Linked DNA regions of Oryzias latipes. The protein of the gene in region 1 interacts with the protein of each later gene in a pairwise test. Links are inferred from orthologs where the notes say so. Each region holds a gene or a part of one and is shown on either strand. Other genes may lie near its edges.

Region 1 (4,118 bases):
GAGTAAAACCAAGAGACATTAGTAGAACCCTGGGAGTTCACACAGTAAGCTGTGATTGTGACCCATTTCCTTAGATGATGGTTTTCTGAATGAACTAAAAGTAAAGTTGGGAAATGTGTTTGGGTCAGTGATTATGATGTAGATTAGTCTTTAGACAATTTTCTATAAATTGTATACATTAATGTATAAAAGCAGCCTAATGTTTAAACGGGAAATCAGTAGCTTAGCCAGAAAGACGAGGTCTTGGCTGTAATAAACAAAGACTTCTATCTTGAAACACTCACCTTCTTAACCAGCTTCTCCTCTTGGAGGGTGAGAATCTCATTTACAGAATTAAGTCTGACAGTCAGAAGCTCAGTGGTCGTCTGAAGAGCCGCCTTCTCTTTGTTTAGCTTCTGTAAAATGCACAAGATTAGAAGCAGAAACACTGCACGGTTTTGAATTTAAAAATGAGTTTCTCTTTTGCTTAATGTTTTCTTTTTCTATGGTGTGGTGAACAGAAGCGCTTGCAATTTACTGCCGATGTCTTTGATCAGTACAGTTTATTTTGTCTGAACCTCAATAGTTTCCTTTAATTGTTCCTTCTCTCCTCTCTCTGGGGTGAGCTGGCCGATGTAATTTCTGAGGCTCTGCAGTGTCGCAGATTGGGTCTCGAAGGCTCGTCCCACGTGACTGAAAGTAACAATACACACTAATAAAGAAGCAGTGAAAGAAAAAGAAACTAAGGAACATTAGCGAATGTGAACACATAGTGCTTGAAATGCAAAGCTGCACCTTAAATGTTCTTTCAGTTCGTCCCTTTCAGCTGACGCCTCCATCAGAGCGCTCTGTAACTGCAGCACTTTTGTGGACATCGACTGGAGCCTGTCCTGTAATTCAGAGTTTGCTTGTCTTGCTGTGTCCAACTCTGTATAGTGCGATGCGTTTAAATGTTGCAACTGGAAGTAAGGAAAGAAAAAAGAAGAAAAATGAATCCAAACTGATCCCACTCAAGCAAAGGGTCTCACTACACTTGCTTTACTGCAGGAAACATCAAGAGTTCAGCAGAACTGATGCCAGCTGACATGAGTTCTTGGAAGTGAACCCTTTGTTTGACAGAAGGTCAATAAAATCAGTAAATAAAAGGTTTATAAAATCTTGCTGCGACAGGCTGCGCCACAAACCTGTGCCTCCTGCATCTCCTTCATTTTCTCCAGTTGTTTGGAGAGTCTGAGAGCCTGCTCTTTCGCCTCCTCTTCAGCCTGCAGCCTACTCATTTCAACCTTAAGAGCAAGCTCTCTGGATTCCTGTTTGCTTTTTACCAAAGATCTCCTCAGCTGGGCTATCTCCTCTCCACACTCTGCTTTCACTTTTTCCAGCTGCAAAACACAAAAACATGAAAAGACTGAAGACTCAGCGTTTGTGAGAATATAACACTCCAGGATGTTCCTAAAAGCTAAAAGGGACACTGCAATCTGTGGAGAAAATGCCAGATCACAAACTGACAAAAGGAGTTAGACAATGTCAGTTACTCCAGGGGCGACTCTTGTGTAAGTCAGTGTGGACATAAAATGTTCTGTGAGTAAATATCATTACCCGCAACCTCATCATCTCCTCCTGTCCTCTGCTGAGGCTAAGCTCCTCCCTGACTTGGCTGAGTTCTGCTTTCGCCTTTGATGCATTTTCTCGAGCTACTTCCAGCTCATGGGTGCACCTGTTGCACAAAGATCATGTCAAGTTCATCCTGACATGTTTTTAATATACTCTTCAGAGGTAAGCTGTGCAGAAAAATATGAAAATCAAATAATCAGACACCAAAACAGAGTGAAAAAAGTGTGATACCTGCACAGGGTGATCTCTCTATCTTTCATTTCTTCTCTGTATTTCTCTGCAGCTTCTTTCAGGGCCTCCACCTGACCCTTTAACCTCTCAGCTTCAGCCTTGTGTTTTTCCATCCCAAGCTGGTGCTGTGACTCCCATGTGTACTGTTGCTCTCCTTTTTCTCCAAATCTGTTTTCAAGGAAATAATCTTAATGACACAGAGAAGATTAAAATTTCCTTTCAGACCAACAACTCAGAAATAAACCTCAACCTGTGTGCTGCAGGCTGACCCCCAGCTTCGTTTGCTCTTAAGAAGTCTCCTTGTAGCAGGATCATCTCCCGATTGTCCTCACGTTGAGGAAAGGTGAAGCATGGACCGGCAAGACTTGGATCCCTGGGTCCTGATATCGGAACTGGGTTCCTCCAGGTAGTCTGAGGTGAAGTTTTAGGACCTACTAGAACCCCTCTGTGGGCTCCAGATGATTGAACACCCGATTCAAAGTGTGACGGAGGCATTAGGTCCCCCTGGACATTGGCTAAATAACAAAAGCAGTACGTGTATTTTACTGTGTGTTTGGTTCCATTAGCTTTTTTAGCGTATAAAATTACAAAGACATGCTTACATTACAGGTATATGATAGTAAGAAGGGCCCTTTAACTTAGTTTACCACCGAACTTAATTAGACATTTTTAGCTACACTGTCTAAAAGCTAACGTTACTTCGACTTGTTCAAGCTGTCAAACTTTAACTTACTTAAATGCGCCGGTGAAATAAAGTCCGTAGGAACTATTAGCTTTTCTTTGACGATATTTTTCCTCTCCATGTTTAACGGCTGGTAGAAAAAGACAGGAGACGGTCAAAATTGTGCCTTCAAAAACAAGGAGAACACTGTTTACGTTCCCATGAGTCTTTTCGTCACTTTTCGTTACCTTAATTACTGTTACAAATGTTTTGCAGTAACTATAAACGTGCACAGTTTGCTAATTTCTAACACTTTTAATTAATTAAAAAAAAAGTAAAATAAGATACATGAAATGTATTGATTTTTTTTTTAAAACATTTAGAAAAATACGAAAATTGCGCACTGCATCATGGGAAAATGGAAGGGGGGGTTGAGGCGATTGCGTGATTTTGCCCTAAATATTGACTTAAAGGTTTTTCGTCCGTGTTTACATACTTTTTGCTCCTCCACAGACTTTTAAAAAAAAATAACATTGCAGGCTAAAAAATAGTTAGAAAAAGAAAATAAAACTAAATTGTGTTCTAGATAATTGGATACAGAATTACTTAGATGGTTGTGTTCCTTCATTTAACAGCAAAGCTGCAGAATTGTAACTGTACTACTAACATACATTTATATTTTAAAAATGTTGTATCAGTCTTATTCTTCCTGCCATTTGAACAGTTCTGCTCTAAAAATGTGATGATGAAAATCCATAAATTGTGTTTATCATATGTTTCTGTCTGCTTGACACAGTAAATGCCAAGCATGTGTGGGTTATGTCTGCTGTATTTTATATTGTTTTTATACTATTTATTGTGATTTTATTTTTTACCATTTGACTATTTTTGCACCTTAATCTCGTTGTACAATGTTGCAATGACAATAAAGACTATCTATCTAAAGAATTTTGTGCTGCATTTTTCTCAAGCATCTGCGGCATCTATTCATGTTTGTTCAAACCAGCTCTTACCTGTAGTATATTAAATCCTCTACTCTGTTGCTGCAGCTCTGACCCACTTTCCCCAGGGGTTCATTAAATTTTAATCTGATGTAATCTGTTTATGGTGTCAAAAGAAATGTTGATGTTGGTGCTTTACATAAAGGATCAAATGTTGATTCAAGGTGACAATGATAGGATGTCAATTATTGTGAAAATGGATACACAGTTGTCTCAACAAAGCAGAGAACTCATGCCAAGAAAGATTATGCAACAATAAGAATGGTCGGGTGTGAATCTGATAAATATTGAAAAAGCAATAGATTAGAGGGAGTACTGCACAATATTTTACCATGCAGACTGTGTATGTTTATTGATGTAATACCCATTTAAAGCATTATACTTCACAGAAAGATCTTAACAATAAAGTATGGGGGAAGTGGGATTGAAAGTAACTACCAACAAGGAAAAAAAAACATCAGAAAACAGAAATTTGACCTCAAAAGACTTGTCACAGATGATAAAAGATTAGGTTCTGGTTATTGCAACATTAAGGCAAAAGCTTGTGCTCATGGCCTGCTTCTGGACACAAAGGAAAGTTAAGGGTAAGTGTTTGAAAAAGACAGTGATAGGCTCAATTTTCAACTAATATTTCT
Region 2 (4,197 bases), on another chromosome or scaffold:
AAGTTTAAACTGCAGACAGCATCTCGTCTTACTAACAGTTTCACTGCAGCTGCTGTGGACACCGATAGTTGAGTTACACAGATGACCTGCCTGCTTTCAAAACACCCTTAAAGCTTTAGCTCCATACAGCGTACCCAGGGACTTTCTCCCTTGTGTTGTGCCTACAAAAGCATGAGGTGCGCATGCCAAGAAAATACAGGGAGGTTACAAAGGAGGTGGGAACATTTTTTTAAAGTATAACTTGACAAAGATTTCATTCAGAAAATCGTGCCAAACTCAGCTAAGACGTCACCACTGCTGTAACTTAAGCAGCGCTTAATTTTGAAAAGACAAGAACAGCAGCAAGACATTAAACACCAAACCTCAGCATTATGGCAGGAGTTTGAAGAGCAAAAGTCACGTCTAAGTTACATATAAAGCTCAGTAATTGTTTGCTTCTGATAAAAAAAGTTACAGGTTATAATCAGTTAGACTAGGCACAAGCCTGGAGGAAGTTAAAACCCGTTCTAAGGGAACCTTTGCACAATTTATTCAGTACTGTGAGGCTTCTGCTATTTCCTTTTGTTTATGTGTTGAAAGTAAACACTAACAATGGAAGCTGAAATGTACCGAAGCTTCTTAAAAGAGGAAACTCAATGTTATGTAAGCGGAGCATATTTTCACGGGGTAGGGCCAGCAGTGCCTGCTTCTTCATGTCACTCAGGACTTCCACACACATCCATGCCGGAGCTGCTGCTCCTTTGGGACAAACTCAATACAGCTGCAGTCTCGTTAAAAAAAATAAAACTTCAAGAATGATGCATAAAAACCACGTGGTAAGCCTGAGTTTAAAGCAACCGTGAAGTTTCAGCCTATTGCACGCGTGCGTAAATCTGAACTTTACGCAAACAGCCGCATTTCTGATGCACAACAGCACCGTCAGTTTTCTGCTTTACTCACCGATCGCCTTCAGTCCAACAGAACTTTGCCGTCTCCCGCAGTGAATTCGGCGTGAAAACCCGCCGAGTTATCCCGCAGCTCCAACTTTCAAATCCCAACTCGCTGAGGAGGAGGAGAGACGTGTGCGCGCATCCCCACACACACACGGCTGCGCATAAACACACACAGGTCTAGAATTTCCGCTTCAATCTTACAGCTTCATGTTTTTCTTTTCATCTAAACATAAGAACGTCAACTGATTTTTCAAATGTGTTATTATTTTATAAATATACATACAACCTAATGTTTGTCGTCAATCCACAGCATTATTTGTATCGAAGGGTTCTGCAAATTCACCGATCTCAGCCCATGAGCAAATCTCGCGAGACTTGCCGTGTTGTGGCACAGCTGACTCTCCCGTGGGTGGTACAGGCGAGCAGAACCTTGAGGCTAAATAATCGAATATAAAGCGCCTTAAATTTAACCGCCGTGAAGGTCCGGACATACAGTTTTATTCACACCATGGCTGAAACAGATCCCAAATCAGTGCAGGACCTTACTAACGTGGTGAGTTTGGACCGTCAAGCTAGCTAGGACTAGCTATATGGATGTAGCTAGCAATGCTAACTATACTGCTAACAAATCAAATGCAGGTTGCATCTAAAGGAGTATTAAGTTTGATTCCTTTTTGCCTTTTCCCCCTTTGTTTTACCACTTGACACCTAAATTCTGATCGATCTCACTAAATATTTATTAGTTTATCACCATATAAAAGACATTGTTAGCTGATTAGCACTTCATCCTGACTAATTTAATTTACATAAATCTTCTTTAATCAGCATTTTCAATAACAAGTATATGAATTTACATTTTTATTGTAATAATAATAATCAGCAGTTCTCGCAACACCCAGGTTACTTCTGTTGGTGTGGATACCAATAGTGTTGCCATGGAAATGAACCAAAACTAAAGGTCTAAGTTGCACCTCTACCTACTAAATCACAGACTGTATTCGATTCTTCTGAAACATTAGGTGTTGATTAGTGTGTTGACTGGAAGATGAAGGTCTTAGCTCCTTTTTAGTGGTTTTTCTCTCACATGCAGCTATGTCCAGAGTGGGGTATGTGAGGAGGGGACTGAGAGGGCGGGAAGCGCTTTTGGGCCGCTCACAGCTTGATCTTGTACTGTTTCTTGTTGGGTTTGACAGATTAAAGTTTGTGGCCTTCTTTTGTTTTTCTAAAGGTCCAGACGCTCCTGCAGCAAATGCAAGACAAGTTCCAGACAATGTCAGACCAGATCATCGGGAGGAATATCCTTTTTTGAAAGCCAGAGCTCTGATGGTCGTCTTTACATTTCTCATACTCTACATCAAATGTCCCGGTGTCTTTTTCTACAGGACTCCAGTTTGCTTAGAAAAAAAAAAGATTTGCCTTAACAGTGTCCACTTGATGAGATGAGCACACGAATCGATGACCTGGAGAAAAACATTGCTGACCTGATGACCCAGGCTGGTGTGGAGGAGGCCGAGGCGACACCAGAGAAGCCGAAGGAGAGCCAAGGATCATCATGAAGGTGAAGAAAAACGGTCTACCCCTGTAGAATTTCTTTGTTCTGGTAGATTTCCTAATCAGCTTTATTTTCTGTCTGTCCCACAGGGTCAGAAATGATGTGAAGTCAAAGTTCTTTACCGATGACTTCTGATTTGGTGTGAAATGCTTTTTTTAAATATATATATATATAAAATGGTTTAACGGTTTACAGTTATGTCATGATGTGAGAAGTGGAGTAGTAGTAATCTGAATTAGTGTGACCTGCCCTTCAGAATTGTGTATTTGGTGCCCTGACCTGGACGTTCGAGCCGCCAGCGTCGGTTCTTCTCTCCGGTCCGTGCTTGGTAACGGGCCAGCAGAACCTCATCCCAACACGATGAACCGCGAACACCCGGAGCTCGCAGCGCAGCACTGTTGGCAACGAGATGCAGAATGCATTCCATTTCTGATTTTCTATTAAAGCGATGTACGGAGCAGTTTCTCCTTTTTGACCAGGTGCTGATAAATAGACCACGGTGCTAAGAGTTTCTACATTTTCTCTTATGAGGCAGAGTCGTCTGATGCCACAGACCTTTCATAACTACTGAATTCATCCGATCTGCAGGTTCAATGCTCTTTGTTGTTCATGAATTTGTTGGATTCTGACGTGAAATGAGCAGAATTGGAAATGTGCCACTTAACGAGTGTATAACTAAGATTTTGCCAAATTGAATGATTAAAACATCCCTTATTTTACCGCATGGTAGGAACCTTTATTCAAGTGTATGCAAACAAAATGTAACAGACCGTCTTCAAACCAAAAGTAGCAGTAAACATCCATTAAAGTGCAGCTTGATTATTGAACTGCAGTAGTAGAACCTCAGCACTTCATAAACATCCCCTCAATACAATATTCATTTACTCTACATGGGATAAAGCAAAAGGTCCCTGAGCTGCCACTTGGTGTGAGTTTATACGTCTGTGGAAGTTCAGTTTCAGAACTCGAAGTCGTCCTCCGTCATGTCGATGGCCCAGGCGAACTTTTCCCGTTGGGTTTTGTTGTAGATTTTTTCTATAGGCACCTCCATGTTCTTACACCTGATTAAAAACAAGAACAGAAAAGCGTTCAACCACAAACAACTGAGTATTACAACTGCAGAAGAAAAGTCTTAAACATACAATGGGGTGAAGAGAAACCTTGAGTTTATCGTCCTGAACGTTTTTCAAGCCAAACTTCACCAAATCGTTGCAGAAGAAGCATTTCTCATCTCTGGTTTAGCACCAAACCCCACTTTCCTTTGGTACAAGCAGCATTTCTATGAATTCTGAAGTCTTGGAACAATTGGCTGATCTCTATAGAAATCAGGTCGGTCACATGGTGAAACGTCAGATCAGTAAACTGGAGGATCTGTTGTCTGAATGAGATCAAGTGACCACAGATCCTAAGAGCCCAGAATCAAAGTTAACGGATGGAATCTGGACATTTCAACACTGCAGCCTAAACCAGAAACTTAACAAAATGTGTTCTTTACAATAAAAATCTATTAAAACATTTCTGTTTTTGGGTGTGTGTACGAGCTGGATTCGCAGTAAAATAAGGGTTTGAGTGACGGGGCTGTTCTGCCCACTCAGACGTTTCTGAGGATCGCTGACGACCATCAGACCGAGCTGGAGGTCTCAAGAGAAGAACCGCAGCAGCGGTGGAACTCTGCCGTCGGGGTGAAGATGGCGTTTACCAAGCCACAGATAT
Region 3 (4,241 bases), on another chromosome or scaffold:
TGCAGGAGTGTGACATTTATTACCTGTCATGTATAAAGCCTTCTCACTGGCTGGGCTGATGCCTGTGGTGTTGGTCGCTGTTACCCAGAGCTCATACTGAGCGTTAGGGAGCAGATCTGTCACCGTGCAGTGAGTCTCCTTCACTTTTACTGTGCTTACTATAGAAAAACACACATTTAGTCTCCAGCTTGTCTCCAGGGTCATTAGATCTTTAACCACCTGGTACCATGTGGTTGGCAGAAGCCGTCTGCTAGCGTGTCCTCCAGCACGGGTCTGTAGTAAAGGTCATAGTACTCCACCGTGTCGTCAGAGAATAAACTCCAGCAAACACGCAAAGACGTCTGCGTGGCTGAGTTGGACATCTGGGGGTTGATTACCGGAGCAGATGGAGCTGTTTTTATGTGTAAAAAATACTAACATTAACATGTTGTTCGTGTAATGCCCTAAAAGATAAACTCAAGTCGGACCAACAATCTTTTTTAGTTCTTGTATGGAAACCAGAGTTCCGCACATTTTTTTGATAGATGCACATGTGTGTATACACTCACTGGCCATTTTATTAAGCACACCTGTCCAGCTGGTCCTCTACACACATTTCTAATCATCCAATCACATGGTAGAAACTTGGTGCATTGAGACATGTAGAAATGGTCAAGATGATCTGCTGCAGTTCAAACCGAGCATCACAATGGAGAAGAAATGTGATTGAAGTGACTTTGAACGTGGCATGGTTGTTGGTACCAGACGGGCTGCTGATCTACCTGGATTTTCACCCACAACCATCTCTAGGGTTTATAGAGAATGGTCTGAAAAAGAAGAAATATCCAGATAGATGCAGTTCTGTGGGCGGAAGTGCCTTCTTGATGTCAGAGGTCAGAGGAGAATGGCCAGACTGGTTTCAGCTGATAGAAAGACAACAGTAACTCAAATAACCTCTGGTTACAACTGAGGTGTACAGAAGAACATCTCTGAACGCACAACACGTCCAACCTTGAGGCAGATGGGCTACAGCAGCAGAAGACCACACCGGGTGCCCCTCCTGTCCAACTTGATAATAGCAAGGTGTACCTAATGTGGCCAGTGAGTGAATGGGTGAAGTGGTCATAACAGACCTGGGACGGCATTGACGGAGTCCATCATGGTTTTCACATCAGACAGATCAGCTTGGGGTGTTTCAAAGTCAAGCTTTGTGGACAATGTGAGATCAACCTTCTCCTTAGCAAACATCTCAATTCTGCAAAACACACACAGGCAATGTATAAAACTACAATCCCAATTCTAAGAGTGTGGTTTAATAACACAAAAATCCCTTTGAATCCACGTCACACCATGCATACTCACTGAGCATCATCCACGTTACCTTTTAATGATGGGCATAACTGTCTGTCAAAATATATGAAACAAAAGGACAGGATTTAAATTGAAAATTCTAAATGAGTGGTTTGTGCATATGGAATGACTGTGTGTTTTCCTAAAAGCAAAAATAGGCATTGTGTGTCTAAAGACGAACACAACTTTGAACATCTACTTTAGAAAATTAAAATGAAACAACTAAAACACAGGTACCTTCAGGAACACCCTCTTGTCTGGCGTGCGGTAGATCTCCTGGGCTGTCTCAATGAGCTCCTTGGAGGCATCCAGTGCTTGACCGCAGGAGAGCAGCTGACTGTACAGAGCCTCCATCTTACTCTTCTTCTCCTCCACCAGGCCTGCAGCCCTCTCATTGTGGCGCTGGGACAGCGTCTGCAGCACGTCATTGTGGTGCTGCTCCAAGTGCTGCTCTTGACGGCCAAAGTTCTCCTGCATGTACCAGCCCAGAGATACGAATAATGATGGGTCATACCCCAAGTGTGTGAGTAGGAAGCACAGAAGGGTAGACGTACACACTTACGTAACAATAAATGTATAAATCAAAGGTTGAGTAGCAAAAGTAATGACAAGCCCCCATGAATGGTGGGGAGAAGAAACATTTTTAAACTACATTTATTTATTAATTTTTTAAGCAGACCTGACTGTCATCGTACCTCAACAGTAAGAAAGATCTCCTCCAGGTGTCCAGCAAAGTTCTCCATCTCAGCAACCTTGCCTTGCAATCGGTTCCTGATTGAGGTCATTTCACTCTAAAAGCAAATGCAAGTCATGCCTCCAGCTTTTTCTGTTTTATGTTCAAACCAGTAACATGACTTATGAGTCAGTCTTTTGCTGCCAGGGCTTTTATTTGGTTAGCTAACAAACAAATGTGGAATTGTGCACTGCTTTCATTTTTTTTAAATAAATGTAATTATTCTTTCATGCTGCTTTAAATACAATAAATGTACAAACACACTCATTCTAGGGATTTTTACCTCATTTTCGTCTTTAATGAACACATTATCTTCATCATGCTCTATTCCGGTGGGAGACGGAGAGCTGTCCTCACAGGGTTCAAAATGAAGGGACTCATTGGTGTCGACAGAAAATCTCTGGAAGGTCCTTCCTCCTCGATCTGAAACTCCTTTATGTGTCTCCATTTTTGTAGAGTTTCAGCTAAATGTCCTTGTGCCTGGCTTCAATCCCATCCAGCCTCCATCTTCAGACTTCACTCGGGTCCATTCGATTTAAATCTGCACCAGTGCACAGATCCACAATTTATACATCTATAACAAGAAAGTGCAGAACAAAAAACACAAGAACTTCATTTTAAACACACTTTGTAGGTCCTGCTGGTCTAAAAAATAGTAAATAAGATTATACTAAAATTACCAGAATAACTGACTGATTCAGTCTCTTTTTAAATAGGCAGCCGAGTGTCTGACAAGCAAAGTCTCCAAAAGTCTCAACCAGAAGCTGGGACAAAAATAGAATGGACTCATGTTGCTCAGATGTCACAAGCACACCAAATGACTGCAAAACATTTATTATTTCAGGGAAAATCAAATACAGTTTTGTGAATAACACAGTTTCATTTCTGTGTTTTGTTATTTGAGACAAAAATATAGCACAAACAGTTTTGATAACTCCATAAGTTTGAGTCTGATGTAAGGAAAATCCCCAAGCATGTGACTTTAAAGGTCAAAGGTGAAAGTTAGTCAATGCCGTCATGAGGCATTCTAGGTCATTGTAAAAGTCCAAATCAAACATACAGACTCTTGTTTTATACTTTTTTGGGGGTTAAACTTCGTATTTTCGTATATTGTTATCAGGTATGTGATATTCTAACTGTTTTGTAAACATGAAACAGGTACACAACTTGAAACAATTAATATTAAAGTAAAAATAAGTTGCACAATAGCGTAAAAGTATAATTACTTCTATAATAACCACATACAATTTTGTGAAAATATACCTGTACTTTTAAGTTTTTTATTTGAGCAAAAAAGTGCCTTAAAATGACTGCGTTTAACATTGTCTGCATGATTAGCGTTCGGTCTTTAATAATTCCGAGTATTTTGGGTGGCACCTGAAGGCTACTTCCGGGATAGAAATGGCGGACGTTGTAAACAGAGCCAACAGTTCATCGGAGGCCAAATGAACGTGTTTTTAGGATGGACGGCGTTGAGGTTGACCGGCTGGACAGTCTGGACGGCTGGGTGGCCGTCAAAAGTAATATATTCGAGGAGAACGAGGCAGTGAAGCTGGGCTTTATCGTAGAGTGGAACGCCATCGAGTCAAAGTTCGCCGTCACCTGCCACAACCGAACGCTGCAGCGGCAGAAACGCAAAGCTGAAGTCGATGCTGGCGAGTCTCCGCTCAGCTGGGCTGGACTCTTCTCTGTCAGCGACTTGAAGCACATCCACCAGCAGTTCACGTGCGTGGCGGACATCCTTTGCGCGTGCTTTCCAGACTTGTCTGCGTTTGAAGAAGGCAATCTGTGGGAGCTGCTGTTTCAAAGCCGGAGGTCAGCTCCGGAGCACGACGACGCCGAGAGGGACTTCGACACGCCGTGCAGGAAACTGGAGAAATACTTTGTCACAGCGATCGACTTCTGCGGCCGAAAGATTGTTCTGGAAACGCTGTTCACTCAAGACGAGCGGGATGTGGAGGAGTACTTCGAAAACCTGCAGGAGTTCAAGAAGAAGAGCATGCAGGAGGAGATGTCGAGGGCGAAGAGTCAGCTGAGACAGGTGAGGGCAGCAGCCAGCAGGCACGTGCGAGGATGACAGCTGAGCCAGTTCCCATTTAAACTTCTACAATGTTTGTGAAGAGTTCCTGTTTTTGTGCTGGCTTTAGTCATCAATGGACGAGTCTGGTTTCAAAGTCTT

Evidence for each region.
Region 2: the proteins of coiled-coil alpha-helical rod protein 1 (region 1) and hsbp1 interact in binary tests that used the Homo sapiens proteins (3 or more experiments, as listed by UniProt). The link is inferred for Oryzias latipes from reciprocal best matches to the Homo sapiens genes CCHCR1 and HSBP1.
Region 3: the proteins of coiled-coil alpha-helical rod protein 1 (region 1) and fsd2 interact in binary tests that used the Homo sapiens proteins (3 or more experiments, as listed by UniProt). The link is inferred for Oryzias latipes from reciprocal best matches to the Homo sapiens genes CCHCR1 and FSD2.

What each region holds. Positions count from the first base shown.
Region 1 is NC_019872.2:16,054,650-16,058,767, reverse strand, and holds the start of coiled-coil alpha-helical rod protein 1, read right to left. Parts: upstream 2,867-4,118; 5' UTR 2,731-2,866; intron 2,634-2,730; 5' UTR 2,625-2,633; coding exon 2,555-2,624; intron 2,337-2,554; coding exon 2,072-2,336; intron 1,990-2,071; coding exon 1,822-1,989; intron 1,694-1,821; coding exon 1,576-1,693; intron 1,359-1,575; coding exon 1,164-1,358; intron 939-1,163; coding exon 775-938; intron 673-774; coding exon 558-672; intron 396-557; coding exon 285-395; intron 1-284. UniProt on the Homo sapiens protein: May be a regulator of keratinocyte proliferation or differentiation.
Region 2 is NC_019864.2:28,979,111-28,983,307, reverse strand, and holds hsbp1 (heat shock factor-binding protein 1), read left to right. Parts: upstream 1-1,323; 5' UTR 1,324-1,440; coding exon 1,441-1,485; intron 1,486-2,160; coding exon 2,161-2,227; intron 2,228-2,363; coding exon 2,364-2,488; 3' UTR 2,489-2,490; intron 2,491-2,573; 3' UTR 2,574-3,442; coding exon of another isoform or gene 3,443-3,545; 3' UTR 3,546-3,999; downstream 4,000-4,197. Other genes in the region: DNA topoisomerase I, mitochondrial, read right to left, coding at 3,443-3,545, 4,184-4,197. UniProt on the Homo sapiens protein: Negative regulator of the heat shock response. Negatively affects HSF1 DNA-binding activity. May have a role in the suppression of the activation of the stress response during the aging process.
Region 3 is NC_019861.2:13,794,219-13,798,459, forward strand, and holds the start of fsd2 (fibronectin type III and SPRY domain-containing protein 2), read right to left. Parts: upstream 2,875-4,241; 5' UTR 2,743-2,874; intron 2,707-2,742; exon of another isoform or gene 2,690-2,706; intron 2,637-2,689; 5' UTR 2,511-2,636; coding exon 2,346-2,510; intron 2,121-2,345; coding exon 2,025-2,120; intron 1,801-2,024; coding exon 1,567-1,800; intron 1,384-1,566; coding exon 1,361-1,383; intron 1,235-1,360; coding exon 1,113-1,234; intron 392-1,112; coding exon 227-391; intron 159-226; coding exon 24-158; intron 1-23. Other genes in the region: whamm (WASP homolog-associated protein with actin, membranes and microtubules), read left to right, coding at 3,525-4,103.